Linked DNA regions of Stegostoma tigrinum. The protein of the gene in region 4 purifies or fractionates together with the protein of the main gene of each other region. This does not show direct contact. Links are inferred from orthologs where the notes say so. Each region holds a gene or a part of one and is shown on either strand. Other genes may lie near its edges.

Region 1 (7,978 bases), on a different chromosome or scaffold from region 4:
CGCTAAAGGCTCCACACCATTGCCAAACATTAACAGACCGTGTAGAATTGGTTGGCTTGTACTCGTAATGCCCACATTTCCCATCTCAAAGACATTCTCAATTGCACTGGACAAACTCTGGTTAACAGCTGTTGTTGAAACTATTAGATACTGACAGGCCTGCTGAAGACATCAATTTTCAATTCCCATTTCCATCAGGCTGCTTCTATTCTGACCAGATCCTTTTCTTGGCATGTTACATCACTGACCTAAGACTGAAGCCACATCCTGAAAATCTGACTCCCCCAAGAAAAGCAATATCTGCCTAGACCAGTCATCCTGGATATCTTGGAGTTCCCAGTAGCCTGCTCACTGTCTCCTGCTCCGGCTGACATGAAATACCTCTCGTGATCGTCCCAGTGCCGATCAACCTTCAATAGACTAGCAGGCAACCAACCAACTAGGGTACATTACATTCTCTACTGTACATTAGTGTGTGATATGATAATGCATTATGTACTTAAAAATCACTTGCATCAAAGCCACAGAATTGTATTTCTACTGCCAATGTTTTTTTAATTTTAAGTTGCAGCTACAGCAGTTATACACAAGCATTCTCTTAACTGACTCAAAACATCAATCTACACTTGATCTGTGGCCTCATTAAATCAGTGCCATTGGAAACAATGGGGATATGTGGGGAAAAACAAGCAACAATGTGTGCTTGGTTCCCAACAAATGCCCTAACAGTGGCACTGGCTGCAAATCTCAGAAGTGGCAGAGCCAAGAGCAATTTACAAGCGTTTCTTATAGGCTCTTCGAGGCTCAGCACCTTGTGAGCATGGAGTCTCAAGCATTCGTGTTTCTGGACTGTCAGCGCTGCAATTGCCTGTTACTTGATAAAATTCATTTGGAAGTGTCAAGCAAAACATCTTTTACCAACTTGCATTGTAGTTCCTTAGTTACCTCAAATCTGTCCGAGTGATTATCGTTTCTTTAACCCTACCCACTATTGATGCTAAACTAGCTGACTAGAGCCATCAGGACTGCCCTTAAACTCTCCTGAATAAAAAAGGTGACACTTACTAAACTTCTGGCCTCTCAGCATATCTGAGGCAGGTTAAAGACTTGCACTATTTCCACGTCTACTACCTTTAACAAATCTGAGATACAAACCAAGTGAGTGATGCATTCTTAGCCTAGAAACATTTCCATCCAACTTGCCTATCATTTTTCAGCCTATTTACTGCTACCACTGTATCTGCTCCACTGATATTTTGTCAGCATCAATTCACTTCATAACCATCAATATTAAGTACTTACTGTGTGTGTCCCTGCTCCTCTAAACCATATGTAATGCTCTTTCTCTCTAATAGGTCCCACTTCACCCTTTACTACATGCTTTGAATTTTTTTTAAGCCTGAGGTTTTTACTGTTAAAACATTCCCTCTTTGGCAGTCTCATTTTCCTGAACTCTCCCCTCCAGAGTGTATATGATTCGATTCTCACTTCAAGAATTTACCCAACATGCAACAAACTTCTCATTTCATGATTTTCTCTAGTTACTTCATCATCAAGGGAGGCCTGACATTGATTCCCTTACCATTCACCCATGTTAGATTGCACTAAGCCTGTACCTAAAACATTTCTGCCTTAAAGAGTAAGAATTATTTACTTGTGCCTTAGTACAGCATCTTACAAAGGGTTATTCCTTAATAGTTCCCTTAAAGTTTTTCCTGTAAGTCTCTGGTTCCACTGTACCATGGTCCTCTGCCCGCATTCTAGTTAAACTAGCTGTCTTATAATTTTCTTTTGTTTGTTCCTGCCTCTTCTCCCTCATTAATGTAAGCCTTCTTACAATGAAGATTCTTACCCAAGTGCTCCCCCCAAACAGTACACAAGATTTAGCAATGCCCTCTTCTAGTTGCTCCAGAAACCCAACCAAAAGCTCATTTCAAATTTATCCTCCACACCCTTTACTGTAACATTGAACTAATTGATTTGCAGTGAAATTAAAGCAGCCCATTAGCACTAATCCACAGCTCTTGCACATCCCTATGATTTCCCTGCAGATGTGCATCACTCATCATTTTGAGGCATATAGAATATCATATAGTGTGATCATACCTTGTTGACACTAACCAAATAGACTGTATCCTTGCCTCAAGGGCAGACCCTCTTTCCATGGTTACAATGACTTCTTTAACTCAATGCTCTACTTTTTTTGAACACTCAATTTCCTTGAATATTAAACTCTAAGTCCTCAATTTTTCACCCTCCATTCTGGAGGGAAAAAAATATTATATTGTCACAATGCTGTTTGTGCTTACAATCTATCAACCTTATTTATCACACTTTGCACATTTAAATTCATGTATGTAATTAGCAAAAGAATTGGCAGTTAGGCTAAATATTCATGAAGGCTGGGTTTCCCCCCCCCCCCCCCCCTTCACCGAGAACACCTTCCTTTACAAAGCGAGAAATCAAGAGTTTAACGTTCTGGGTCGGGTGGCCCTCAGAACCGGGGTCACTGGTTCCAGTAACTTGAAGCACAACCAGTCCCTGGGTGGTCCTTGCCCCAGAGCAGCTCCCAAGGTCTCATCATGTCCCTTCATCCTGCAACAGGCCTTCACCCACAATAGGAGTCTCAATGCCTTCCTATTCCTTCTCTCAGCACTGGAATAAAAGTCAACAAAATAAGGCACCCAGGCACGTGTCAGCCCCCAAACACGCAACCTACCTGCCGGAATGTAACCCCGGTTCGGGTCTGACCCCCGCGCCCAGAGGGATCTGATGGGGGGGGGGAAGGCAGTTCCCCTTTCCGCCCGTGTGGCCCGCGGCCCACTCGACCCTCACCATAAACCCCCACCATTACCCAGTTACCGCCTACACCGCCCCCACGTTACCCCGGCCTCTCACCCGCTCTGGTCCCGGCCCCACCGCCACAATCCAGCACCGAGTCAGGACGCGCACTAGGCCACAGGAATTGAGGGCAGAACCAAGCGCCAAATCAATCAAACAGGGAGACACGGAGAAGGAGAGTGGGATAGAGAACAGGAAGGTTAAAGGTCACAGCTCCGTCCATTGACCAATCGGAATGAAGCTATATGAACGAGCTCTTGGAGTGTTGGCCAGTCAGAATAAAGGGTTGTCAACCAATCAGTGCGAGAGGCCATTGACCAATCAGAGTCAGGCAGCGCTGACCAATCAGAGCGAACACATATGGTCCAATCAGAGTGAGGCGGTGTCCCTCAGTTTGCCAGAACATGTACATTGAGATCAGTGATAATGGGAACTGCAGATGCTGGAGAATCCAAGATAATAAAATGTGGAGCTGGATGAACACAGCAGGCCCAGCAGCATCTCAGGAGCACAAAAGCTGATGTTTCGGGCCTAGACCCTTCATCAGAGAGGGGGATGGGGAGAGGGAACTGGAATAAATAGGGAGAGAGGGGGAGGTGGTCTGAAGATGGAGAGTAAAGAAGATAGGTGGGGAGGTAGAGAGGGGATAGGTCAGTCCAGGGAAGATGGACAGGTCAAGGAGGCGGAATGAGGTTAGTAGGTAGGAAATGGAGGTGCGGCTTGGGGTGGGAGGAAGGGATGGGCGAGAGGAAGAACAGGTTAGGGAGGCCGAGACAGGTTGGACTGGTTTTGGGATGCAGTGGGTGGAGGGAATGAGCTGGGCTTGTTTTGGGATGCAGTGGGGGGAGGGGACAGGCTGGGCTGGTTTTGGGATGCAGTGGGGGGAGGGGAGATTTTGAAGCTGGTGAAGTCCACATTGATACCATTGGGCTGCAGGGTTCCCAAGTGGAATATGAGTTGCTGTTCTTGCAACCTTCGGGTGGCATTATTGTGGTACTGCAGGAGGCCCATGATGGACATGTCATCTGAGGAATGGAAGGGAGAGTTATAAAATTGTTCGCGACTGGGAGGTGCTGTTTTTTATTGCGAACCAAGCGGAGGTGTTCTGCAAAGCAGTCCCCAAGCCTCCGCTTGGTTTCCCCAATGTAGAGGAAGCCACACCGGGTACAATGGATGCAGTATACTACACTGGCAGATGTGCAGGTGAACCTCTGCTTAATATGGAAAATCATTTTGCGGCCTGGGATAGGGGTGAGGGAGGAGGTGTGGGGCAAGTGTAGCACTTTCTGTGGTTACAGGGGAAGGTGCCGGGTGTGGTGGGGTTGATGAGGAGTGTGGAGCGGACAAGGGAGTCGCGGAGAGAGTGGTCTCTCCGAAAGGCAGACAAGGGTGGGGATGGAAAAATAGCTTGGATGGTGGGGATGGATTGTAGATGGCGAAAGTGTCGGAGGAGGATGTGTTGTATCCGGAGGTTGGTGGGGTGATATGTGAGAACGAGGGGGATCCTCTGGAGGCGGTTGTGGTGGGGGCAGGGTGTGAGGGATGTGTTGCGGGAAATGTGGGAGACGCGGTCAAGGGCGTTCTCGACCACTGCGGGGGGAAAGTTGCAGTCCTTGAAGAACGTGGACCTCTGGGATGTGCGGGAGTGGAATGCCTCATCCTGGGAGGAGATGAGGCGGAGGAATTGGGAATAGGGAATGGAATTTTTGCAGGAGGGTGGGTGGGAGGAGGTGTGTTCTAGGTAGCCGTGGGAGTCGGTGGGCTTGAATTGGACATCAGTTTCTAGCTGGTTGCCTGAGATGGAGACTGAGAGGTCCAGGAAGGTGAGGGATGTGTTGGAGATGGCCCAGGTGAACTTGAGGTTGGGGTGGAAGGTGTTGGTGAAGTGGATGAACTGTTCGAGCTCCTCTGGGGAGCAAGAGGTGGCACCGATACAGTCATCAATGTAACGGAGGAAGAGGTGGGGTTTGGGGCCTGTGTAGGTGCAGAGGAGGGACTGTTCCACGTAACCTACAAAGAGGCAGGCATAGCTTGGGCCCATGCGGGTGCCCATGGCCACCCCCTTTGTCTGTAGGAAGTGGGAGGAATCAAAAGAGAAGTTGTTGAGGGTGAGGACGAGTTCGGCTAGACGGCTGAGGGTGTCGGTGGAGGGGGATTGGTCGGGCCTGCAGGACAGGAAGAAGCGGCGGGCCTTAAGGCCATCTGCATGAGGAATGCAGGTGTATCGGGACTGGAGGTCCATGATGAAAATGAAGTGTTGGGGGCCAGGGAATTGGAAGTTCTGGAGGAGCTGGAGGGCGTGGGTGGTGTCACGGACATAGGTGGGGAGTTCCTGGATCAAGGGGGAGAAAATGGAGTCCAGATAGGTGGAGATGAGTTAGGTCAGCCAGGGCGGGCGGGTTTTTGGATTTTGGGAAGGAGATAGAAACAGGCCGTGCGGGGTTGGGGAACAATAAGGTTGGAGTCTGTGGGTGGGAGGTGCCCTGAGGTGATGAGGCCATGGATGGTATTGGAGATGGTGGTTTGGTGCTCAGGGGTGGGGTCATGATCAAGGGGCAGTTGGAAGAGGTGTCGGAGAGTTGGCGTTTGGCCTCGGCAATGTAGAGGTCAGTGCGCCATACTACAACTGCGCCTCCCTTGTCTGCAGGTTTGATGGTGACGTTGGGGTTGGAGCGGAGGGAACGGAGGGCTGCCCGTTCTGCGGGGGAGAGGTTGGACTGGGTGAGAGTGGTGGAGAGGTTGAGGCGGTTGATGTCTCAACATCAGTTGGCGATGAAGAGGTCGAGGGAGGGTAGGAGGCCTGGGGTTGGTGTCCAGGAAGAGGACTTGTGTTGGAGGCGGGTGAAGGGGTCAGTGGAGGGAGGGTTAGGTTCCCGGTTAAAGAAGTAAGCGTGGAGGAGAAGGCGGTGGAAAAAATACTCGATGTCCAAACGTGACTGGTATTCGTTGATGTGTGGGTGGAGGGGGACAAAGGTGAGCCCCTTGCTTGGGACTGACCATTCATCCTCAGTCAGTGGGAGGTCTGCGGGGATGGTGAAGATTCGGCAGGGCTCAGTGTGGCTGTCCTTTGAAAGGTCGGTGTGGTCTTGATTTTTTAAAATTTCCTTTATTCTCATGGTGGATTGAATATAAAATGCAGTGAAAAGCATGTACTGTCGCTCTGTGCATGTACTGTTCACATAGTAAAAACACAATAACTTAAAGAGGGTCTAAACTTCCCTTCACCTTTGCTACTGCATGCCGCCACCAGAGTCATGCTGCAGGCTTCCAGCCTACGCCGTGCCACTATGAGTGTCTCTCAGCCCCTCTGACGCCCTAGGACATGGCCCCTCCGTCACTCTGGGGATAGGGCCCCTCCATCAGCCGCCTCAGGCTGCCTTCTCCCATCTGCTACCAGTCACACCTCCAGCTTGTGCTCTCTGCCCACATGATGCTCCATGGCTGCTTCCCCACAAACTGCTATGGAGTTCTTCTCCATGCAGCTCCTGTGCTCGCTGCTGACAGTGTTCTGGGGCATGAGGGCTCACTGCTCTGGACTTGCTGCCAGCTTCAGTGCTGAGGGTAGAGGAGAAAAAAAGAAAGGAAAAAGAACAGGTGGAGCACAGGAGTTCTGACAGCTCTGATGAGCTGAATGGCCTGCATCCACACTGTAGGGATTCTGTTCTCTTCTACATTTGTGAAAAGATTGATATTGGTGACCAGGGAGGGTGATAACTGTCTCATGGTCCCTATGCCCATTTCCCTGCAGAATGCCTGTTCACTTCTGCAAAAGACCATCTGTCAGCTTATTGTGAATGACTATATGCTACCAGTGGCCTTGATGGAAACATCTGTCCGGGATAATGACACCTTTTTTATGGCTGAAGCCTCCCTTTCTGGCTATTTCTTTGATCTCTAGGTCCATCAGGCTCGTTGTAGTTTCCTCCCTTGGACTCTCCAACAAATGTCTTCTTATCCTCAATGATTTTAATCTCCATCTCAACTCACCATGTCTAACTCTAACTTCACTGGCTACTTATCATCACTATCTCTTCTCTATCGGAATACCCTCCCCAGATTAGAAATATAGCCAGCTCTACACCTTGTTATCTCATTTTTCAAAGGTTGTAAGGTTGCCAGCATCCACTACCTCCCTGGGCTGTACTTTCTAGATTCCCACCACCCTCTGAGAGAAAAAGCTTTTTTCTCAAACCCTGTCTGAATCTGCTGCGCCTTATGCTAAAAGTGGGCCTTCTTGTGATTGAAGCCTCAACCAAGGGGAATAGCTGCTCTCTACTCTCCCTGCCCATACCCCTCATAATCTTATGCACATCAATCATCTCCCTCTCAGCCTCCTCTATTTTTGAGAAAACAATCCTGTAACTGACAACCATCTTCTTCACTATTGAGCATCCAGCAGCCTTTGTGTTGTCTGAAAACTTGCTTAACATCCCCCGTTTATGTATATAACAAACAATATGCGTCTCAGACTGATCCTTGTGGCGTATTGCTGGAAGTTGGCATCCAGTCACTTGGACAGCTTTCTACTTCTACTCTTTGTATCCTATTACGAAGCCGGTTTCTGATCCATCTCATCATCTTCATAATCAGTTTCCCCTGTGGGACCTTGTCAAATGCTTTGCTAAAGTCTGTATAAACTACATCAACTGAGCTTCCTTCATCCACACACTTGATCACATTTTTGAAAAATTCTGTGACCTCCTTCTGACAAAGCCATGCTGACTGTTTGTAATTTACCTATGCTTTTCCCAAGTGGATGTTAATTCTCTCCTTAAAAAATTTCTCCAATAGTTTCCCTATCATGACATGATACTCACCAGTCTGTAATTTCCCTGGTTCATCTCAACCAACTTTCTTGAAAAGTGGAACCACATTAACTCTTCTCCAGTTCTCTGGCACTCCCCCTGTGGCCACAGAGGCATTAAAAATTTGTGTCAGAGCCCTTTCAATTTCCTGCTTAGTGTCCCACAACAATTTGGGATGCAATTCTCCCAGGTCAGGAGATTTCCCTGTTTTTAAGCCTGACAGAGTCTCCAGAGGGTTTCAGAATGTGCTTTGGGTAAGGGACTGTGCCAGAAGTTGTGATACACATCAGACCAATAATGTAGTGTCTAAGAAGAGTGTTTAGTAAGTATGA
Region 2 (7,803 bases), on a different chromosome or scaffold from region 4:
GCCTTCTTCAACTGCTGCAGTCCATGTGCTGTAGGTTGACCCACAATTCCCTCAGGGAGGGAAGAAATGACGATATATTTCCAAGTCAGGATGGTGATTGGTTTGGAGGGGAACTTTCAGGGGATGGTATTCCCATATCTATTGCTATTATCCTTCTAGTTACCATGGGTTTGGAAGATGCTGCCTCAGGATCTTCCTAAACAAGCTAGCTCTAATATTTCAGATATGTCTCCTAGTTTTAGACTTCCCCAGCCTCAACCTCTGCTCACTTCTCTTCCCTCCTTTGCCATCTTCCCCTTCCCTCCTATCCCCTCCCCCTCCTTTCTACCCAGTGTACAATCCAACAAACAGTATCAAACTTCCATGACTCACTGGTTGTCCAACAGCTCATGATAAAAATGTCTCACGGTGATCGAAGGAAAGGGAAAAATCATGAAAAATCTTAGACTTGTTGCATCCAGGCACACTTTCCAGCTGGTTAAAAACAGAAGCTTTAGCAGAATTTTAATGATCCAGAGCCACCAATGTCAAAAGTGTGACACATTGATGTGGCCATCCAAGTTTGGAATCATTGACATACGGTTGCAACATTCAGAAAGGTGAATTAAATTTTAACCAGAAAATAAAGGTTTAAGTCCTGTTCCTTTGGCAGAATGATTCCAAACCTGGCACTGAGAGGAATTTCTGTGAAGCTATTGGACGGGATAGACCATACCCCTCTGACTATGACCCCTCTTCCCCATTTTGCAAACATAAAACATAAAAAGTGATCTGACCAAGCTTCCCCAGAATGTGGATGCGTGAACAACAACACATCTTTAATGTTAAAACTTATCAAGACATATCTAGCAATGTTATCAAACAACATTTGACACCAAACCTTTTGGAGATATAAGAAGAGACTGATCTGACATATGGGTTTTAAAGGTGCATCTTGAAGGAGGACAGTTTGAGGATCAGACGTTAGGAAAATCATGAAGTGGAATCAGGATATGTGTTAGATTGGAATTGGGAGTGCTGAGATCGTAGAAGATTGTGGATTTGAAGGAGGTTAAGGAGATAAGACTATGGAGCAGAAACAAAGTTGCTAGAAAAGCTCAGCAGGTCTCGCAGCATCTGTGGAGGAGAAAACAGAGTTAACGATAACTGCAGTCCGGTGACCCTTCCTCAGAACTGCAGTTAACGTTAACTCTTTTTTCTCCTCCACAGATGCTGCCAGACCTGCTGAGCTTTTCCAGCAATATAACAAAGTGTGAGGCTGGATGAACACAGCAGGCCCAGCAGCATCTCAGGAGCACAAAAGCTGACGTTTCGGGCCTAGACCCTTCATCAGAGCTTTACCAGCAACTTTGCTTTTGCTCCTGATTTACAGCATCCCCAGTTCTTTTGGTTCTTATTAAGACTATGGAGTAATTTGGACTCAAGTAGGAAATACATGCTATAATTTCAGAAATGTAGAAGACTTTTCAAAATAATTGCCACATTACAGCAGTGGTGCGCTGGTAACATACTTTATTAGAACAAAGAACAATACAGCACAGGAACCGGCCCTGTGGCCCTCCAAGCCTGAGCTGACACATTTTGCCCTTTCATACTAAAACTGTCTTCAATTCCAGCATCCATATCCCTCTATTCCCTTCCTATTCGTGTATTTGACCAGGTGCTTCTTGAATGGTGTCATTGTGTCTGCTTCCACCAGCTCCTCCGGCAGTTCATTCCAGGCAGTCACCACCCTTTGTGTGGAAAAAGTGCCTCTCACATTTCTTTTAAACTCCCCCTCCTAACCTTGAACCTGTGTCCCCTTCTAAATGAACCATCCACCCTAGGAAAAATCCTCCTACTTTCCACTCTATCCATCCCATTCACGATCTTATAAACTTCTGCAGGTTGCCCCTCAACCCACTGCATTCCAGTGAAAACAAACCTAGTCTATCTAACCCTTCTTCATAGCTAAAATCCCCCATACCAGGCAACATCCTGGTAAACCTTATCTGTACCCTCTCCAAAGCATGCACATCCTTCTGGTAGTGTGATGACCAGAACTGTACACTATATTCCGAGTTGTGTCTAACTAAAGTTTTATAAACCTGCAGCATAACTTGTCTAGAACAAAAACAAAGTTTCTGGAAAAGCTCAGCAGGGCTGGCAGCATCTGTGAAGAAAAAACAGAGTTAGCGTTTCGGGTCCGGTGACCCTTCCTCAGAACAGCGTTCTATTGAGTTCTGAGGAAGGGTCACCAGACCCGAAATGTTAACTCTGTTTTCTCCTTCACGGATGCTGCCAGACCTGCTGGGCTTTTCCAGCAACTTTGTTTTTGTTCCTGATTTACAGCATCAGTCATTCTTTCAGTTTTTATTAACATAACTTGCCTACCCTTATACTCAATGCCCCTTCCAATGAAGGTAAGGATGCCATAGGCCCTTTTTACTGCCTCATCTCCCTGCGCTGTCACCTTCAGTGATCTGTGGACCTGCACATCCAGATCCCTCTGCATATCAATGCTCCTAAGGGTTCTGCCATTCGCTGTATAACTTCCACCTGTACCTGACCTTCCAAAATGCATCACCTCACATTTGTTCAGATTAAACTCCATCTGGTTTAAGAAAAACTCCCATATTTCTGCCCATGCCTCCAACTGATCTATATCCTGCTGTATCCTCTGACAATCCTCCTCACTGTCTGCAATTCCACCATTCTTTGTACTGTCTGCAAGCTTACTAATTAGTTCAGCTAATTTTCTCCAAATCATTTATGTAGACCACAAATGGCAGAGGTCCCAGTATTGATCCCTGTGGAACACTGGTAGTCACTGTCCTCCATTCTGAAAAGCATCTTTCCTCCGCTACCGTCTGCCTCCTATGACTAAGCCAGTTCTGTAACCATCTTGCCAGCTCACCCCTGATACCATGTAACTCCACCTTTTGTACCAATCTGTCAGGCACAATGTCAATTGGAATTAAGAACATTGAGATGTCATAAGCAGTGTTATATAGGGTTGCTAATGCTCTAGACAAGGCCTGGAGTCTCAGGAAATTGAAGATCAATCTACAGGACACTGCCTTTATATTCATCAAAAGATGATACAGATCAAAACTTAAGATGCTTGCTATGCTTACATTGATGAATCTTTATTCCACAAAGCAAAGTCAATTATTCTGGAATTTCCTGTTGGTGTCCTTTCCATCTCCTCTATTTTTCTCAGAAGCTTTGGATTCTCACACCTTTAGTATTGCCCATTGTGTTGTCACTGCTGTGTGCAACCTCTGGAGATAAATCAAAGCATTGATTTTTTAATTTTGTTTTTATACATTTCCCTTTGCCAGATGCAAAAATATTGAAAATTTGGGGGAACAAAGTCTGTTTGGGTGATAGTCAACCCACACAAGGAGGAAGGCAGTGTGTCAGAATGGCAAGTATCATCATCGTTCAATCCCTACAGTGTGGAAACAGGCCCTTTGGCCCAACAAGCACACACCAACCCTCACAGCATCCCAGACCCACCTGCCTATAACCCACCTAATCTACACCTCCCTGCTCACTATGGGCAATTTAGCACGGCCAACACATCCTAACCTGCACATCTCTGGACTATGGGAGGAAACTGGAGCACCTGGAGGAAACCTACACAGACATGGGAGAATATGCAAACGCCACACAGGGTGGAATCAAATCCAGGTCCCTGGTGCAGTTAGACAGCAGTGCTAACCACTGAGCCACCATGCCACCCCATGTGTATGCGCTGCCAAATGTCTGATGAATAGCTGGAAATTGGTTTGCTGGGGACATGTGCAAGTCATGCAATGAAACCATCAAGAATAGATTTAGTCACAGAGGCAATACTAAATAAATGCAAGTTTGTCTTATCCTACTTTGTTTTAGTATGGCTTTCCTGTTCTTTGTGTAAGCTCATTAGGCCAGACCTGTAGGTTTCTTTGAACAATATTTATTGACATTAAAAACATGACAATATAGAAGCTGATTTCCTCTAGTTCCAACTTCTGGCAGAGGCTTCATGACATGACTACCGAGATTGCAGTTTCACAGCATATCTCAGAGGCTTATGTTCATTCAATAACGCTATCGCTACACTTCTCTGGTTTAAAGCGGACAAACCCAGGTCTTCCAGTATTTCCATGTAATTGAAGTTTCTTATCTCTGGTAGCTTTCCAATCAAGTGCTTTGACATTTCCTTCCAAAAGTGGGCTGCCCAAGATTGTACATAGTATTGCAGAAGAGCCATGATGTGTGATTTATCAATTTGTTTATTGCGGTTTATTAAGATTTAGCAAGAGTTATTCTTTTTCATGTTCTGTGCTAAAATATGAAGAATTTTCATGCGAGTAACAGATTTTGATATTGTCTTGCCACCTTCAAACATTGTCTGTCCAACAAATGTACCATTTAGTCTATTTTGCTAGGCATGTTGTGTGCAGTTATTGTAAAAGTTGATTGCCAGGTAATAAATTTGGAAATTATTTGTGAATGTTTGGAATATGTGAAATCCCCAAATTGGAATTGCTGTTAAATGGTCAATTTTTTTCCCACGGGCGGGACCGATGATTGGTTCCCTAACCGCCAATCAGTACTCTTTCGACCAATGAATGACCACGTCCCGCCCCGATCACGTGACCCACCCCTGTCTTCGTCTTCAACCAAACCTGATGAGGCGCAGCGCCCGCCACCGCGGCCTTTCTATTGGTGGGATGACGTCAGGCCCGGCGGGAGCCCGTTCTCCTATTGGTAAAGGCCGCTGTCAGTCGGGGTGGGACGTCCGGCGAGCAGGTTTGGTTGTGGTCGGAGTAGGGGGGAGGGGTGGACTTGTCCTCTGATGGGGGAATGAAAAGCCAAGGGCGAGTGCTGTGCGGGTCGGTGAGTGAAGGAGGGAGGGACGGTTTGTTAATTCTCAGAATAACCCACTTGGCTCGCTGAGTAAACCTTTCTTGTAGGTAAGGTGAGAGGTTCATGTATCTTTCGGTTCCCTTCCCCCGGCGTTTGCAGGATTTAGGTAAAAGCCACCATTTCTCCTCATCCTCCTCCTCCTCATCATCAGCAGCAAAGGGTAACCGGACTCCGACCGTTATCTCTGCTTCTCCCCCTCTGTACACAGATGCCCGCCAGACCTGCTGAGTTTCTCTTGTTTGTTTCAGATCCTAGAACCCCCCCCCCTTACAGTGCGGAAAGAGGCCATTCGGTCCATCTGGTCTGCACCAGCCCTCTGATGATCACCTGCTCCTTCCCCACCACCACCATAGCTCATCCACCTAGACTGCACGTTCCTGGACGCAATGTACCATGGCTAACCCTCCTAATCTGCACACCCTTGGACTGTGGGAGGAAGCCCATGCAGGCATGGGGAGAATGTGCACGCTCCACCCAGATGGTCCCCCAAAGGGTGGAATCAAAACCGGATCGGATGGTGGATGAGCCACCTGGATCCGGCATGATCTCCGGCGTCAGCTGGTACTAAGGTTCGTCGAGCCTTTCTTACCTGGAAGCTGCATGGGACCCTGAAGAGCGAGTTGCATCCTGTCATTGGGGGCCCCCCTGTGAAGTGGAGGTTGCCCTCTCTTTCTCAAGTGCCAGTGACTAGTGTGCTGCCTCACCATGCTGAGTGATCAGTCGAAGTGGTGCATGAGCTATGACTGTTCTGCGTTCACCCTCCAAACCCCCCTTCTCTTGGTGTCCCTTCATGATCTCTCTAGCCCCCAATCTTCTGTTCATTCTCACATCCCTCTGCTTCCCCTCTCTCCCAACCGCTTCTATCCTGAAAAACCAAAGTTGTTTCTTTCCTGTTGTGGCTGCTCAAATTCTGGACAGATGTGATTCAGAAAGTGTGGATTTTCTTGGTGTCACATGGAGTGGAGAAGGTGAGAACCATACATGTGCTCAAGGGGAAGCTGGATACACAGGTGAGAGACAGCAAGAGATAGATGGGTATCCTGATGAGGGTTTGATATAGGGAATAGGAGGGGGCATACGTGTAATATACATGTCAATCTTTTGGGCTGGATGGCCTGTTTCTCTCCTACAAAATTCCGTTTAGTTCTTTGAATCTGGACTCATCTCGCAGAGTTCAATATCTCACTTCTTCAGAATTCTTTCTCTTGCTCTACACTCTGTTAACTATGCCATAGTAATCCCTTCTCTGGTAGAAATGCCCTCTGTTTCCTCTTCACATTTATAATGAGTGTGTCTGCATTATCCTTACTCTGTGGCTGTAATTGTCTTTCTATAATAAAATGTCCAAAGCAGTGTGTACATTACTCACATTCTAGCCAATGCTTTTTTTGCGTTAAATTGTTTTTTTGTTAAATATTTGTATCTCAATACCCTCTTTTGTAAACTCAAAATACTGTCGACCTATTTCTGAGTATCGTTAACCTGCACTTACACTTTTAGGGATTTTTTTTGTGTTTCAACAACTTGGACTCTTCCTTCCTGGTGGCCCAGTAGTGTTCCTCGGGGATAGTAGGAACTGCACATGCTGGAGCATCTGCGATAACAAGGTGTAGAACTGGAGGAACACTAGGCCCAAAACATCAGCCTTCCTGCTTCTCTGATGCAGCTTGGCCTGCTGTGTTCCTCCAGCTCTACACCTTGTTCTCTCAGTGTTCCTCAGGCCTACCTTTTGGAGAGTGACTGCAGCAGGCAGCCTTTGTGTCCTGTGCGGCTTGTTTGTGACGAGCTTGTAAATTAGTTATGACTTGCTCAGCCACACAACTCCTGACATCGCGACAGCCATGTCTTAACATGGACATAAACACTGAACTCCAGGGGTGAGGTGAGAGTGACTGCCCTTGACAAGAGACAGCATTTCCCCAAGTGTGGCATCAAGGAGCCTAAGTAAAGCTGGAGTTGATGGGAATTGGGTGAAAAAACAAATGCTCTGGTTATCCCTTGTACAAAGGAGGATTTTTTTAGACTGGAGACCTGTGACAAGCGGTGTTTCACAGGCATTGGTACTGCATCCATTTTTGTTTGTCATTTAGATAAACTGTTTGAGAATATAGAAAGCATGGTTTGTAAATCTGTGGATGACACTAAAATTGGTGGTATAGTGGACTGTGAAGAAGTTTATCTAATCACAAAAAGACAATATCCTGATCATCAATGTATGGAGCTGGATGAACACAGCAGGCCAAGCAGCATCTTAGGAGCACAAAAGCTGACATTTCGGGCCTAGACCCTTCTAGGCCCGAAACGTCAGCTTTTGTGCTCCTAAGATGCTGCTTGGCCTGCTGTGTTCATCCAGCTCCACATTTTATTATCTCAGATTCTCCAGCAACTGCAGTTCCCTTTATCCTGATCAACAAATTGTTCAGTTGGGTCAATGGGCTGAAGACTGGCTGACTAAGTCTAATTTGGATGAATACAAGGTATTGCTTTTGGGTAAAACAAACAAAGGGCAGGACTTATACAATTAATGGTAGGGCCCAGGTAGTATTGCAGAACAGAGGGACCTTGGGGTTCAGGTACGTAAATCTTTGAGATTAGTGTCAACAGTAGACAAAATGGTTAAGAGGGTTTTTAGCAAACTTGTCTTCATTGCTCAGACCTTTGAGGATAGGAGTTGGGATGACATGTTGAGGTTGAACAGGATGTTGGTGAGGCCCCTTCTGGTGTACTGGTCCTGGTCTCCCTGCATAAGAAAGAATATTATTAAATTGGAGGGGGTTCCGAAAATAATTACTAGGATGTTGCTGGGACTGGAGAGCTTGGCTTGTAAAAATAGACTGGATAGGCTGGGACTCTTTTCACTGGAGGGTCGGAGGTTGAGGGGTGATCTTTATAGACGTTTATAAA
Region 3 (7,531 bases), on a different chromosome or scaffold from region 4:
TGCAAATCCCTCCTTTAGTTCTCATGACACTTCATACAACAATTAGCATAGCATATAACAAGGCTGTTTGAAAGGAAGGACTGGTAACAGTGCCAAAGTCAGCACTTGTCACAAAACAGTGAACCCCCCTCTGCCTTTATGGTACAAAGACTTCCTCTTCCTGCTCTCTGATCACCTGAACTCATTCTCGTAAGTGTGTCTTGTTTCACTTCCTTCCTCTTTCCATTATTTTGAACAATTGTTAACGCTGAAGTAAATAATGAAAAGGGAATGTTTATCTTTCATGGATTATCAGTACATCTTGTTCTGTCAGCCAGTCATAAGAATGGACAGTCTTGGTGCAGAGTTGAGTGATGACGACATTTCCCACTGTCAATGCTGGACTTGCAACAACAGCGACAGATCCACTTATATGTTTGGGCTTCCCTCAGGGAGTGAAACCCTGTTACCATTTTAGGACTGAGACACGGGGCGGCACGGTGGCTCAGTGGTTAGCATTGCAGCCTCACAGCGCCAGGGACCCAGGTTCGATTCCAGCCTCGGGCGACTGTCTGTGTGGAGTTTGCACATTCTCCCTGTGTCTGCGTGGGTTTCCTCTGGATGCTCCGGTTTTCTCCCACAGTCCAAAAGATGTGCAGGCTAGGTAGATCGACTATGATAAATTGCCCATAGTGTTCAGGGGTGTGTGGGTTATAGGAGGATGAGTCTGAGTGGGATGCTTCAAGGGGCAGTGTGGACTTGTGGGGCAGAAGGGCCTGTTTCCACACTGTAGGGAATCTAGTCTAGAAAGTTTCAATGCCTACAATAATGCAATAAGCTTAACGATCAAGTATCCTCGGAGCACCGGCAACAAAGAAAAATATTTTGTGCTTTCATCCTGGGTTTTCACATCCCTCCATCTCTCTGGATCGCTTTAACCTCCACCAACCCACAGCTCCTCAAGATATCTGCTGGCTTCTAACTCTGGCCTCTTAAGTATTGCAAGATTCAATGACACACGCAATGGTGAGCATTCCTTCAGCTCCTGCTTGTAAAATGTTGAAACTTGTACCCTCATTTCTCTCTCCACCTGCCTCTCATCTTTTAATACCTTCCTTAAAACCGACGTCTTCCATCTGAATCATTTTGTGACTGGTGTCAAATTTCGTTTGCTGATGCAGCTGTGAAACAATTTGGGACACCTTACTGTTTTAAAGGCATGACATATATGCAAGATGATGTTGTTGTTATAAGCCTTTTTAAGTTATATTCATGAGTCAACCATCTGAATTTTGTTTTAGAAAGAGTTGACCTTTGCTGAAAATAGAGGGATGTTGTTTAAGTTTCTCTTGTTTGGCACTCATCTGGACAGAATTGCAAGAATTTCAAATTTGAAAGGGAACAACAATTTGTACTATGTGTGAAAAAGGTTTTGATTAGTTGTCAGTTCACTTCTGATTGATCTGGGCACTGCCATGGAAGAATGTTTTTATACACACATAACCTGTGTGTGTTGTACGGATGTGTATATATAATTGGTGAATCCAATTCTAAGTGCAACATATTGCCCATCATCTGAGAGACAGGAGAAAAACAGTGGCAGAGACTGATAGTGAATACACAAGCACACATTGGGTGTGATGGTACAGTAACACATGAATCAATTGGCCTTTTGTGTGCACGAAACAGGATCAGTCTGCCTGATGTAGGAATGTCACAAGCAGGTTCTGGGAGATATGCATGGCTGGGCTGGTCTCCAAGCTTGTCCAAATTAAACAAGTGTTAAATATTGTCCACACAGACAGAAGCACGGTAGAGCTGAACTGAACTGCAATCTTCTCCTTGCCAGGTACCAGGGGCCCATGAGATCTGATGACGCAGTTACCAGGTGGCTGTTAACCTCATATGCTGCACCTGAAGTTACCGTGGGTTGGTTTTTGGCTTTTTCATTCTGAACAGATGGCATCACATCTGTCACCTTTTCCTGGATGCTCACACACTGAAAACACAGACTTTCTGCTGATTATTGATTTAATCCTCCCAACCTGCATGTATGACGTGCAAAGCAACTGTCCTTTAGCACACAGTTCCCAGTGCCAGCCATGTGAAGGTGCCAGCTAATGGGTGGCAGCTCGGAAGTAAAGTGTCTGCCAAAAAAAAGTACCTGAACAACTTGTCATATGACTGAGCTGAGTCTGCAGACCGAGCTTTCCTGTTATGGACCACACCAAAACCCCTCAGAAGATGGACTAGACCCAAACCTTTTCTGATTTTGAAGCTAAATGTAAGGTGTTGTGTTCGAGATGCAATTTGTTTGTTCAGACTACTTCTGATTTATCTTCTCATTTAAAGCAAAATACACTTTATTCATCTCCTATCATTAAAACACAACAAAAGAATAAAGGAATTGGAATAACTTACAAAATAAAAACTGAAAGAACTACAGAAGTTAAAAGTCAGAGACAAACATAGAAATTGCTGTAAAAGCTCAGCAGGTCTGACAGCATCTATTAAGAGAAAACACAGTTCACGTTTCGGGTTGAGTGAGCCTTCCCTTCAGTTCTGAGGCAGGATCACTCGACCCAAAATGTTAACTCTGAAATCTCTCCACAAATGTTGCCAGACTGGCTGAGCTTTTCCAGCAATTTCTATTTTTGTCATTGGAATAACTTAACTCTATTGGAAAACTTAACACAATAATAGATACAGTAACAATTACCTTGTCCAATATTGCAACATCCCACAAACACACCCTTGGCAAAATCCAAATTCAGAACGTAGATTGTCTCATACACAACTCTATTAACAGACAGAGAACCTCTAGAATTTGGCTGTAACCGAGAGAAGGTAAAAATGCCTTTAATTTCTTCCAGATTCCAACAACAACTGCTGAAAGCTAAAACTAAAATCCCTGGTTCTGTGGATGGGAACCTGACCCCACCCTTTCAGGCCACTTCTATTGTTCCAACTGATTAAAAAAAATCCATGGCTTCACAAGTTTATCTTCTCATAGACTACCTGGTGCCTGCCGCCCAATCTCAGTCTAAAAGGAATCAAGACAAAACACACCTCTTCAAGCCACAACATTGCCAAACTGCCACAATCCAAGGAAGCATTCTCATGTGGAGGTGCTGGTTTCTGGTGACCAGGTTAATGACTTAATGCGACTGCTTGAATGCAAATACCAGACCATCTCTGAGCCAAAATGTTTCCCTTGCACTTTGTTGTCAGGGGAATAAACTTCCAACCTCAACTCAAATGGAGGAAAGTGCTCTCAACTCTACAAAGCATTTAGCCAATTTCTACCCACTTATGGGTGCTCATCCGCTTCTGACAATGGAGACTTACAACAGAGATAATGGGAACTGCAGATGCTGGAGAATCCAAGATAACAAAGTGTGAAGCTGGATGAACACAGCAGGCCAAGCAGCATCTCAGGAGCACAAAAGCTTACGTTTCGGGCCTAGACCCTTCATCAGAGAGGGGGATGGGGAGAAGGAACTGGAATAAATAAAGAGGGGGAGGCGGACTGAAGATGGAGAGAAAAGAAGATAGGTGGAGAGGAGAGTATAGGTGGGGAGGTAGGGAGGGGATAGGTCAGTCCAGGGAAGACGGACAGGTCAAGGAGGTGGGATGAGGTTAGTAGGTAGGAGATGGAGGCGCGGCTTGAGGTGGGACAAAGGGATGGGTGAGAGGAAGAACAGGTTAGGGAGGCAGAGACAGGCTGGACTGGTTTTGGGATGCAGTAGGGGGAGGGGAAGAGCTGGGCTGGTTGTGTGATGCAGTGGGGGGAGGGGACGAACTGGGCTGGTTTTGGAGATAATGGGAACTGCAGATGCTGGAGATTCCGAGATAATAAAATGTGAGGCTGGATGAACACAGCAGGCCAAGCAGGACTGACCTATCCCCTCCCTACCTCCCCACCTACACCCTCTCCACCTATCTTCTTTACTCTCCATCTTCGGTCCGCCTCCCCCTCTCTCCCTATTTATTCCAGTTCCCTCCCCCCATCCCCCTCTCTGATGAAGGGTCTAGGCCCGAAACGTCAGCTTTTGTGCTCCTGAGATGCTGCTTGGCCTGCTGTGTTCATCCAGCCTCACATTTTATTATCTGGGCTGGTTTTGGGATGCGGTAGACTTACAACAGGTTGTTTCATTCATCCAGCAGAAAGATGTCAGTGTTTAATCCTAAATTAGATGTCCAGCAAGCCCTTTTCAGACTGGACGCAGATAAATCTGTCAGCAGATAATCGCTTTAGTACCAGCAAAATGGACATTGCAACGCTTAGGCCAATACCTATCTCGTAATACAACTCACTCTTTGCCTTAGCAAAAAATGCTAACATCATTTGTTTTTAACCTGCTGTTCTGCAGCATGAGAGTAGCCAGGGTTGGGCTGGAAATCTGCAAAGAATGTGTAACTTCCTTCCTTGAACAGAAAGCAGCAGCTCGAACTCAGTGACGGAATTGCACGGGGGCATTTGGTGAATCTATATACTAATTCTGCCCTTGCTCACTGAGCTTGCTGCACACGCACTCGTCCTGCAGGGCAAAGTGCTGTCTGTTTGCGGGCTTGGAATGTGCTGGCTGGGACAGCCCATTTTGTTCCTGAGGTAGAGAAACATCAACGCGAGAGAGATAAAGAAACGCACCCTTGTGGTCAGGCATTCTTTGGGAGAAGCCTCGTGTGCCCCGGAATGTAATCACGGAGAGAAAGCCTTTACTACTTTCAGACAGCAACTTCGAACACACATCCCGCTGTAATCTGGATGAGTTTTTACCCCGCAGCCAAGTCCCAGGGACTCTCGAATTCCTCTCCAGTGACTTTATTTGAGTCTATTGTGTTTTTTTGCACTGTCCAGTTATGTGCAGCCTTGGCTCAAGGCGACGTTGCTGGCATGCGATTGGTTCAGGATCTGGCAAGAGTTCAGCAGCCCGAAGAACTCAAGCCGTCAATGCAGGAGCTGCAGTCCCACTGCAGCATTGAAGGCTCTCTGTGTCTGTGTGTGTGTGACTCTGTGAGAGCCTCTTTCAGCATCACGGGCATCTCTGCGACCACTGACAAAAAATTCAGAATGGGAGGGTCTCAGTCCCAGCACCAGCTCAAGGGAGGGGTGAGACCTTTAAAAGAGAAGGCCAGCATGTAAGTCACCCATCATCTAACCATCTTTCAGTTTCAATGCGGGAGTAACTAGTTACCAATTCGATTTTAGTCTATCTCTTTCTTTTTAAGTGTCATTTGCTCAGCCACTGCATACAGGCTTGAGTGGCTAATTCCGTTTTAAATGCAAGTGTATCATATGTGGTGTTCATCTAATGTATGTTCTGGTCAATGTGTTTTTTTCTTGTACCATCCCTTATTTTGAGAATTTATCCATGTTGCAAAGATCTGAGAACAGGGTGAGCTGTGAGTGGTATCAGTGGGAACCAGCAAATCAAGGTCAGCTTGTCTGTTCAAAAAGATTCTATCATTGTCTCGCTTCTGTTTTCATTTCTTTTCTAAAAATTATTCATGAGCCACTAGGCCTAGTCTGTTTGACATTCATTTCATTACAGGGAGGAAGTGCCCCAGTTTCCCCATCCATTCACTGAAGGAATTCTATTTTGGAAAGATGAGAATTCTGATCCAGACCCATGTTGGCTGGTCTTGATTGACTGATCCAGCTTGTGGTGCACTGCAATGTCATGAGTTTCAGTCACACTCTTGTTTACAAGAAGAAACTGCTCATGTGCCTTTACAGACACCTCTTCCAAGTTCAACTGCACCCAGCTGGGTTATATCAGTGTTCATAATTGATAATAAACTTCAAGCACTAGCATAGAAAATGTAAATCCACAACAGACTTGCTGCAGTGTTACTGCTGTTCCTTTAACCCTTTTATCTCCTCTTGTTAACTCTTGCTTTGAGAAGTACATTTTGACTGAGCTTTTACCCTGCGGAGTGGAGAATATTGAGGGATCTTTGTGGTCATGTGGCCTGCCAGGGATATTAACCTCAGGGGGAAAGAACCGGGTGACCAGATCCAATCAACAGCCGGAGCTTTTCACAAGGCCTCAAAATCACCTGACCCAGTCTGCTCCCAAGTCCATGGCAATCCCACAGTTTTGATGGAAAATGAACACTCTGGATGGAGGTAAACCTATCCCAGCATCCATAACAAGAGTGGCAGCTCTCTATTAATGTTATGCACCTCCTCTCTCAGCGTTCTTATTTGCTTTGTCAGTTTCCAAGTGAAGTGCCTGCTATTCGACAAAGGGAGTGAATTTGCAAAGAGATGTATGTCATGACTGTCGTAGATGCTCTGTTCATAAAATTACTTTGAAAATGGTCGGTTGAACAGTCAGTGTGCACTTTGCCCTTTGTCAGGCATGGTGGCTGTGTGGGGAACTGAAGAACAAGGTAATATCTCAGGGGAAAATGAATCCAACTGTTTGCTTTCAGGACAATGTGCAAGATGCAATCCAAACATGTTTTCACCTGCACCGCAACTTGTGCAACAGCAGCTCTGCTCATTGTACAGTTCCAGGCTCCATCAAGTGAGCTTAGCCCTAAAACGAGCAAGTGTTGATCTATCTTGTCTGTATTGATGGGCTGGATGACTCATTGATTATTTACATAGTGGGAAAGGGACGGGATGAAGGTGTTTCAATCAGGGAGGATGGAGACTGTTGTGTATGTCTCTTGGTCAGTATTTTGATCAGAGACAAGCTCAGGATATCATGACTATGTCACAGCATGTGGCCTGAGGGTATAAAGGTCTTGACTCCGTTTTAACTTGGGCCACTTGAAGCTTGACACGCTGATTAACTCTTTGTAACTGAATGGCTGAAGGTTAGCCCAGACATGGAAGTCACCTGTTAATGTAATATTTGTTTCGTTTTGTGAGTTGGATTAATATATGTTGGAGTTTTCATATTATGTTCCTGCATCTCAATTTTAATGTAATGAGAAGTGATGCTATCTAACATTGCTGCATCGAGATACCCTGGAAAACATGAGTCAGCAAAAAACTTGGCAGGTGGAATACAATGCGGGAAAATGTGAGGATACGTCCCTTGGTAGGAAGAACAGAAGAGCTGAATGTTATTTAAATGGATAAAGACTGCAGAAGGATTTTGGATTCCTTATGGATACAACTTCAGCAGGTAACAGTGAAGGACAATATTCGTTGTCATTTCAAAGGGAATGATGTATAAATATGGGGAAGTCTTTGCTAAAACTAGACAAGGGTCTCAGGACACCACATTTCAGAATACTGTGAACAGCTTTGATCCCTTTATTTAAGAAAAAATATACTGGCATTCAGGTAGTCCAGAGAAGGTTCACCAGGCTGATCCCAGGTATGGACGGACTGATGTATGAGGCCAGGTTGAATAGGTTGGGCTTGTACTCATTGGAGTTTAGAAGAATGAGAGACAGCTAATGAAACCTTCAAAAAGATTCTTGGGGGCTTGACAGAATTGATGTGTAACAGTTGTTTCTCTGCACGGGGAAGTGGAGGACCAGAGGACACCATCTCGGATTAAGGGGGTCATCTATTTTAGAGAATGAG
Region 4 (7,142 bases):
ATGAACATTTCCCTTCAACCACCACCCTCTGCCTTCTTCCAGCAAGCCAATTTCTGATCCAAACTGCTAAATCACCCTCAATCTCATGACCACGTATTTTATGCAATAGCCTACCGTGGGGAACCTTATCAAATGCTTAACTGAAATCCATATACACCACATCAACCACTTCACCCTCATCCACCTGTTTGGTCACCTTCTCAAAGAACTCAATAAGGTTTGTGAGGCATGACCTACACTTCACAAAACTGTGTTAACTATACCTAATCAAATTACTCCTTTCTAGATGATTATAAATCCTATCTCTTATAATCCTTTCCAACACTTTATCCACAACTGAAGTAAGCCTCACTGGCCTGTAATTACCAGGATTGTCCCTCCTCCCCTTCTTGAACAAGGGAACAACATTTGCTATCCTCCAGTCTTCTGGCACTATTCTTGAACATAATGGCGACATAAAGATCAAAGCCAAAGGCTCTGCAATCTCCTTCCTAGTTTCCCAGAGAATCCTAGGATACATCCCATCCAGCCCAGGGGACTTACTTTTTTCACACCTTCCAGAATTACTAACACCTCCTCCTTGTGAACCTCTATCCCGTCTAGTCTAATAGGCTGTATCTCAGTAATATCCTCGACTACATTGTCTTTTTCATGTGTGAGTACTGTCGAAAAGTATTTATTTAGCGCCTCTCCTGTCTCTTCAGACTCCATGCACAACTTCCCACTACTGTCCTTGACTGAACCTAATCTTACTCTAGTTATTCTTTTATTCCTGACATACCTATAGAAAGCTTTAGAGTTTTCCTTGTCCTACCTGCAGAAGACTTCTCATGTCCCCTTCTGGCTCTCCTTAGCTCTCTTTTTCGGTCCTCCTTGGCTAACTTGTAATTCTCAAGCACCCTAACTGAGCCTTCACGCCTCATCTTTACATTAACCTCCCTCTTCCTCTTGATAAGAGATTCAACTTCTTTAGTAAACCATGGTTCCCTCGCTCAACCACTTCCTCCGTGCCTGACAGGTACATACTTATCAAGGACACGCAGTAGCTGTTCTTTGAACAAGCTCCACATTTCAATTGTGCCCAGCCCCTGCAGTTTCCTTCTCCATCCTATGCATCCTAAATCTTGCCGCATCTCATCGTAATTGCCTTTCCCCCAGCTATAACTCTTGCCCTGTGGTATATACCTATCCCTTTCCATCGCTAAAGTAAACATAATCAAATTGTGGTCACTATCACCGAAGTGCACACCTCCCCCAAATTTAACATTTGGCCTGGTTCATTACACAAAACCAAATCCAATGTTGCCTCACCTCTTGCTGGCCTATCTACATACTGTGTCGGGAAACCCTCCTGCACACATTGGACAAAAACTGACCCATCTAATGTACTCGAACTATAGGATTTCCAGGCAATATTTGGAAAGTTAAAGTCCCCCATAACAACTACCCTGCACCTTTGCTCCTATCCAGAATCGTCTTGGCAATTCTTTCCTCTACATCTCTGGAACTTCTCAGAGGCTGATAGAAAACTCCCAACAGGGTGACCTCTCCTTTCCTGTTTCTAACCTCAGCCCATACTACCTCAGTAGAAGAGTTCTCATCAAACATCCTTTCTGCCACTGTAATGCTGCCCTTGACTAACAATGCCACACCAGCCCACTTTTACCACCTTCCCTGATCTTACTGAAACATCTAAACCCTGGAACATGCAACAACCATTCCTGTCCCTGCTCTATCCATGTCTCTGAAATGGCTACAACATCGAAGTCCCAGGTACCAACCCATGCTGCAAGTTCAACCACCTTATTCCGGACGCTCCTGACATTGAAGTAGACATACTTCGAACCACCTTCCTGCCTGCCGGTACACTCCTGTGACCTTGAAACCTTATTTACGACTTCACTACTCTGAACCTCCAGTACACTGGAGCTACAAATCAGGTTCTCATCTCCCTGCTGAATTAGTTTAAACCCTCCTGAAGAGCATTAGCAAATTTCACCCCCAGGATATTGGTACCCCTCTGGTTCAGTTGTAGACCATCCCTTTTGTTGAGGTCCCACCTACCCCAGAATGACCCCCAATTATCCAGGTATCTGAATCCCTCCCTCTTGCATCATCTCTGCAGCCACATGTTCAACTGTTCTCGCTCCCTATTCCTTGCCTCGCTAGCATGTGGCACGGGTAACAAACCAGAGATAACAACTCTGTTTGTTCGAGCTCTAAGCTTCCACACTCACTCATTGAATTTCTGCCTCACATCCCTATGCTTTTCCTATCTATGTCATTGGGGCCTGTGTGGACTACAACTTGGGGCTGCTCCCCCTCCCCCTTGAGGATCCTGAAAACACGATCCGAGACGTCACAGACCCTGACACCTGGGAGGCAACACACCGACCATGAGGTCCCACAGAATCTCCTATCTGTCCCCCTAACTATGGAGTCCCCAATGACTAATGCTCTCCTCCTCTCCCCCCTTCCCTTCCGAGCAACAGCGGCAGACTCTGTGCCAGAGACCTGTACCCCATGGCTTACCCCTGGTAAGTCATCCTCCCAAACAGTATCCAAAATGGTATAGTTGATATTGAGGGGAATGGCCACAGGGGATCCCTGCACTGTCTGCCTGTTCCCTTTTTGTCCCCTGTCTGTAGCCCATCTACATTTTTCCTGTACCTGAGGTGTGACTACCTCTCTGTAACTCCTCTCAATTACCTCCTCAGCCTCCCAAATGTGTTCCCCAAGGGATTTGAGTATTTTTCCCACTTATTTCTCTTTTCAGAGAAGGTCAGAAGCCATACGACACCAAATTATAGCCCAACTAGTTTATCTGAAATCAGAAGCTTTTGAAGCACAGATGAAGTGAAGAGAAGCACCGAGGCACAGAATTTATTGGCAGAGAGATCAAGAGATCTGACAAATGCCAGGCTGAATAACAAGTCTCTGGAACAAAAACAAAGTTGCTGGAAAAGCTCAGCAAGTCTGGCAATGCCAGTGAAGGAAAAAACAGAGTTAACGTTTCAGGCCCAGAGACCCTTCCTCAGAACCAGGCCTGAAACTTTTCCAGTGGTTTTGTTTTTGTTACTGATGTACAGCACCTGCAGTTCTTTCGGTTTTTAACAAGTCTCTGGAGGTGATCAAAAGTGTCAGATGGTGTGAGTGTCAACAGCTGAATAGCAAGTGAAGGGATGACCTATAATCTGATTAATTGAGGCAGAGAAATAATTACAAAAAATTAAAAGTAAGATGGTGAGTTTGGAGATTTAGGGTCCCCCAATGGGGTATGAGAGTTCACTGTTTGGATTCCTGGGTTTTGGTCTACTTCCAAGGGGTTTGAGGATTTGAATTTTACCCCCATGGGATTTGAGTGTTTTTCTCTTTAGCAAGTTTTGAGAACATTTGTAGCTCAGGTTGAGTTTCTGGATGTGAGTTTGCTCGCTGAGCTGGAAGGTTAGTTTTCAGACGTTTCGTCACCATTCTAGGTAACATCATCAGTGAGCCTCCGGTGAAGCGCTGGTGTTATGTCCTGCTTTCTATTTATCTGTTTAGGTTTCCTCGGGTTGGTGATGTCATTTTTCCTCTTTCTTTTGGCAGGTTTAGGGGCAGCGGGATGCTTAAAGATTCCCCATAGGGTTTTGAGAGTTCAACTTGTTTATTTTGGGGAGAGGTTAGGGTCTCCATAGGGTCACACGATGAGGGTTGAGGATTCACCCCTTGTGGTTGAGGGATTCCCACGGGGTTTTAGGATTCAGCCCATTTGTAGATGTTTGGGTTGGAAGGTTCATCTACAGGTTTTTGGAGTTTGAGGGTACCCGGGGGGGTTCAAGACTTCACCCTATGGGGTTTTCAGGTTTTGGGGTATTCCATATAGTTTGAGGGATCACCCAGAAGTTTTGTGGTTTTTAGGGTATTCCAGGTAGCTTGAGGATTCATCTGAGAGTTTTTGTGTTTTTAGCGCATTTCTAGGAGGTTGAGGATTCACCTGGGAGTTTTGGGGGTTCTTCGAGTATTGCAGGGAGTTTGAGGGTTCACCTCGGCGTTTTTGAGGGTTTTTACGGTATGCCTGGGAGTTTTGGGCTGAGGGTTGAACCATTTACTGGGATCCTGTTGCTGCAGTTCAGTCTCCGGCCACAGGGGTCAGTGCTGGGCAGGTGCTGACGTCAGCCTCTCCCTCCCTCCTTCTCTCTGTGTCGGCCATGGCGCGCCCGGAGCAGCTACTCGTCTTGGAGCCGCCCAACGAGCTCAAATTCCGAGGTAAGAGGCTGGTGCTGGGCTTGTTCAGTGTCATTTCTAAGGGCAGGCCACCCGTGTGCGGACTCCCTTCAAATTAGAGCCGCACCGGAACAGTTCAGGCGGCCGCTGACGCCGGCGATGGGAGGAGGGATCGGCCCGTCAGTGGGAACGGCGGGCAGGGGGGAGGCCGGGAACAGCAGGCAGTGCCCACGGTAACAGCTCCTGAGAATGTGGCATTGGCCTCTGGGCGACCGACACCCCAACCCTTGACACCACCCCACAATCCCCCTGTAACCCGCCCACCTCCCCACACCCCCGTAACTCATATCCCCAACATATCCCTTCCCCCCACCCCCCCCGTCCCCTCCTCTCCCCCCCCCCCCCCGTCCCCTCCTCTCCCCCCCCCGTCCCCTCCTCTCCCCCCCCCGTCCCCTCCTCTCCCCCCCCGTCCCCTCCTCTCCCCCCCCCGTCCCCTCCTCTCCCCCCCCGTCCCCTCCTCTCCCCCCCCCGTCCCCTCCTCTCCCCCCCCCGTCCCCTCCTCTCCCCACCCCCCCCGTCCCCTCCTCTCCCCACCCCCCCCCGTCCCCTCCTCTCCCCACCCCCCCCCGTCCCCTCCTCTCCCCACCCCCCCCCGTCCCCTCCTCTCCCCACCCCCCCCCGTCCCCTCCTCTCCCCACCCCCCCCCGTCCCCTCCTCTCCCCACCCCCCCCGTCCCCTCCTCTCCCCACCCCCCCCGTCCCCTCCTCTCCCCACCCCCCCCGTCCCCTCCTCTCCTCTCCCCCCCCCGTCCCCTCCTCTCCTCTCCCCCCCCCGTCCCCTCCTCTCCCCCCCCCGTCCCCTCCTCTCCCCCCCCCGTCCCCTCCTCTCCCCCCCCGTCCCCTCCTCTCCCCCCCCCGTCCCCTCCTCTTCCCACCCCCCCCCGTCCCCTCCTCATCCCACCCCCCCCCGTCCCCTCCTCTTCCCACCCCCCCCCCCGTCCCCTCCTCTTCCCACCCCCCCCCCCGTCCCCTCCTCTTCCCACCCCCCCCCGTCCCCTCCTCTTCCCACCCCCCCCGTCCCCTCCTCTTCCCACCCCCCCCCGTCCCCTCCTCTTCCCACCCCCCCCCCGTCCCCTCCTCTTCCCACCCCCCCCCCGTCCCCTCCTCTTCCCACCCCCCCCCCGTCCCCTCCTCTTCCCACCCCCCCCCCGTCCCCTCCTCTTCCCACCCCCCCCCCGTCCCCTCCTCTTCCCACCCCCCCGTCCCCTCCTCTCCTCTCCCCCCCCCGTCCCCTCCTCTCCTCTCCCCCCCCCGTCCCCTCCTCTCCCCCCCCGTCCCCTCCTCTCCCCCCCCCCCGTCCCCTCCTCTTCCCACCCCCCCGTCCCCTCCTCTCCTCTCCCCCCCCCGTCCCCTCCTCTCCTCTCCCCCCCCCGTCCCCTCCTCTCCCCCCCCGTCCCCTCCTCTCCCCCCCCCGTCCCCTCCTCTTCCCACCCCCCCCCCGTCCCCTCCTCTTCCCACCCCCCCCCCGTCCCCTCCTCTTCCCACCCCCCCCCCGTCCCCTCCTCTTCCCACCCCCCCGTCCCCTCCTCTCCTCTCCCCCCCCCGTCCCCTCCTCTCCTCTCCCCCCCCCGTCCCCTCCTCTCCCCCCCCGTCCCCTCCTCTCCCCCCCCCCCGTCCCCTCCTCTTCCCACCCCCCCCCGTCCCCTCCTCTTCCCACCCCCCCCCCGTCCCCTCCTCTTCCCACCCCCCCCCCGTCCCCTCCTCTTCCCACCCCCCCCCCGTCCCCTCCTCTTCCCACCCCCCCCCGTCCCCTCCTCTTCCCACCCCCCCCCGTCCCCTCCTCTTCCCACCCCCCCCCGTCCCCTCCTCTTCCCACCCCCCCCCGTCCCCTCCTCTTCCCACCCCCCCCCCCGTCCCCTCCTCTTCCCACCCCCCCCCCCCGTCCCCTCCTCTTCCCACCCCCCCCCCGTCCCCTCCTCTTCCCACCCCCCCCCGTCCCCTCCTCTTCCCACCCCCCCCCCGTCCCCTCCTCTTCCCACCCCCCCCCCGTCCCCTCCTCTTCCCACCCCCCCCGTCCCCTCCTCTTCCCACCCCCCCCGTCCCCTCCTCTTCCCACCCCCCCCCGTCCCCTCCTCTTCCCACCCCCCCCCGTCCCCTCCTCTTCCCACCCCCCCCCCCGTCCCCTCCTCTTCCCACCCCCCCCCCGTCCCCTCCTCTTCCCACCCCCCCCGTCCCCTCCTCTTCCCCCCCCCCCGTCCCCTCCTCTTCTCCCCCCCCCCTCCTCTTCTCCCCCCCCCTCCTCTCCCCCCCCCATCCCCTCCTCTCCCCCCCCCCTCCCCTCCTCTCCCCCCCCCCTCCCCTCCTCTCCCCCCCCTCCCCTCCTCTCCCCCCCCCCGTCCCCTCCTCTCCCCCCCCGTCCCCTCCTCTCCCCCCCCCGTCCCCTCCTCTCCCCCCCCCGTCCCCTCCTCTCCCCCCCCCCGTCCCCTCCTCTCCCCCCCCCCGTCCCCTCCTCTCCCCCCCCCCGTCCCCTCCTCTCTCCCCCCCCCCGTCCCCTCCTCTCTCCCCCCCCCCCGTCCCCTCCTCTCTCCCCCCCCCCCGTCCCCTCCTCTCCCCCCCCCCGTCCCCTCCTCTCCCCCCCCCGTCCCCTCCTCTCCCCCCCCCGTCCCCTCCTCTCCCCCCCCCCGTCCCCTCCTCTCTCCCCCCCCCCGTCCCCTCCTCTCTCCCCCCCCCGTCCCCTCCTCTCCCCCCCCCGTCCCCTCCTCTCCCCCCCCCGTCCCCTCCTCTCCCCCCCCCGTCCCCTCCTCTCCCCCCCCGTCCCCTCCTCTCCCCCCCCCGTCCCCTCCTCTCCCCCCCCCGTCCCCTCCTCTCCCCCCCCCGTCCCCCCCCGACGCTCCTCCCCCCCCGACGCTCGTCCCCCCCTCCCCCCCCGACGCTCGT

The links.
Region 1: the proteins of vapb (region 4) and akap11 purify together in Homo sapiens (affinity purification with mass spectrometry; 3 studies listed by BioGRID and IntAct, counting the BioPlex papers as one, with this or other methods). This does not show direct contact. The link is inferred for Stegostoma tigrinum from reciprocal best matches to the Homo sapiens genes VAPB and AKAP11.
Region 2: the proteins of vapb (region 4) and miga2 purify together in Homo sapiens (affinity purification with mass spectrometry; 3 studies listed by BioGRID and IntAct, counting the BioPlex papers as one, with this or other methods). This does not show direct contact. The link is inferred for Stegostoma tigrinum from reciprocal best matches to the Homo sapiens genes VAPB and MIGA2.
Region 3: the proteins of vapb (region 4) and tacc1 purify together in Homo sapiens (affinity purification with mass spectrometry; 3 studies listed by BioGRID and IntAct, counting the BioPlex papers as one, with this or other methods). This does not show direct contact. The link is inferred for Stegostoma tigrinum from reciprocal best matches to the Homo sapiens genes VAPB and TACC1.

Annotation. Positions count from the first base shown.
Region 1 is NC_081365.1:80,434,286-80,442,263, reverse strand, and holds the start of akap11 (A-kinase anchor protein 11), read right to left. Parts: upstream 3,019-7,978; 5' UTR 2,899-3,018; intron 1-2,898. UniProt on the Homo sapiens protein: Binds to type II regulatory subunits of protein kinase A and anchors/targets them.
Region 2 is NC_081382.1:42,576,517-42,584,319, forward strand, and holds the start of miga2 (mitoguardin 2), read left to right. Parts: upstream 1-4,794; 5' UTR 4,795-4,869; exon of another isoform or gene 4,870-4,951; intron 4,952-7,803. UniProt on the Homo sapiens protein: Regulator of mitochondrial fusion: acts by forming homo- and heterodimers at the mitochondrial outer membrane and facilitating the formation of PLD6/MitoPLD dimers. May act by regulating phospholipid metabolism via PLD6/MitoPLD.
Region 3 is NC_081393.1:12,117,897-12,125,427, forward strand, and holds the start of tacc1 (transforming acidic coiled-coil-containing protein 1), read left to right. Parts: upstream 1-4,517; 5' UTR 4,518-4,747; coding exon 4,748-5,121; intron 5,122-7,531. UniProt on the Homo sapiens protein: Involved in transcription regulation induced by nuclear receptors, including in T3 thyroid hormone and all-trans retinoic acid pathways. Might promote the nuclear localization of the receptors.
Region 4 is NC_081372.1:60,747,260-60,754,401, reverse strand, and holds the start of vapb (vesicle-associated membrane protein-associated protein B/C), read left to right. Parts: upstream 1-4,131; 5' UTR 4,132-4,190; coding exon 4,191-4,248; intron 4,249-7,142. UniProt on the Homo sapiens protein: Endoplasmic reticulum (ER)-anchored protein that mediates the formation of contact sites between the ER and endosomes via interaction with FFAT motif-containing proteins such as STARD3 or WDR44.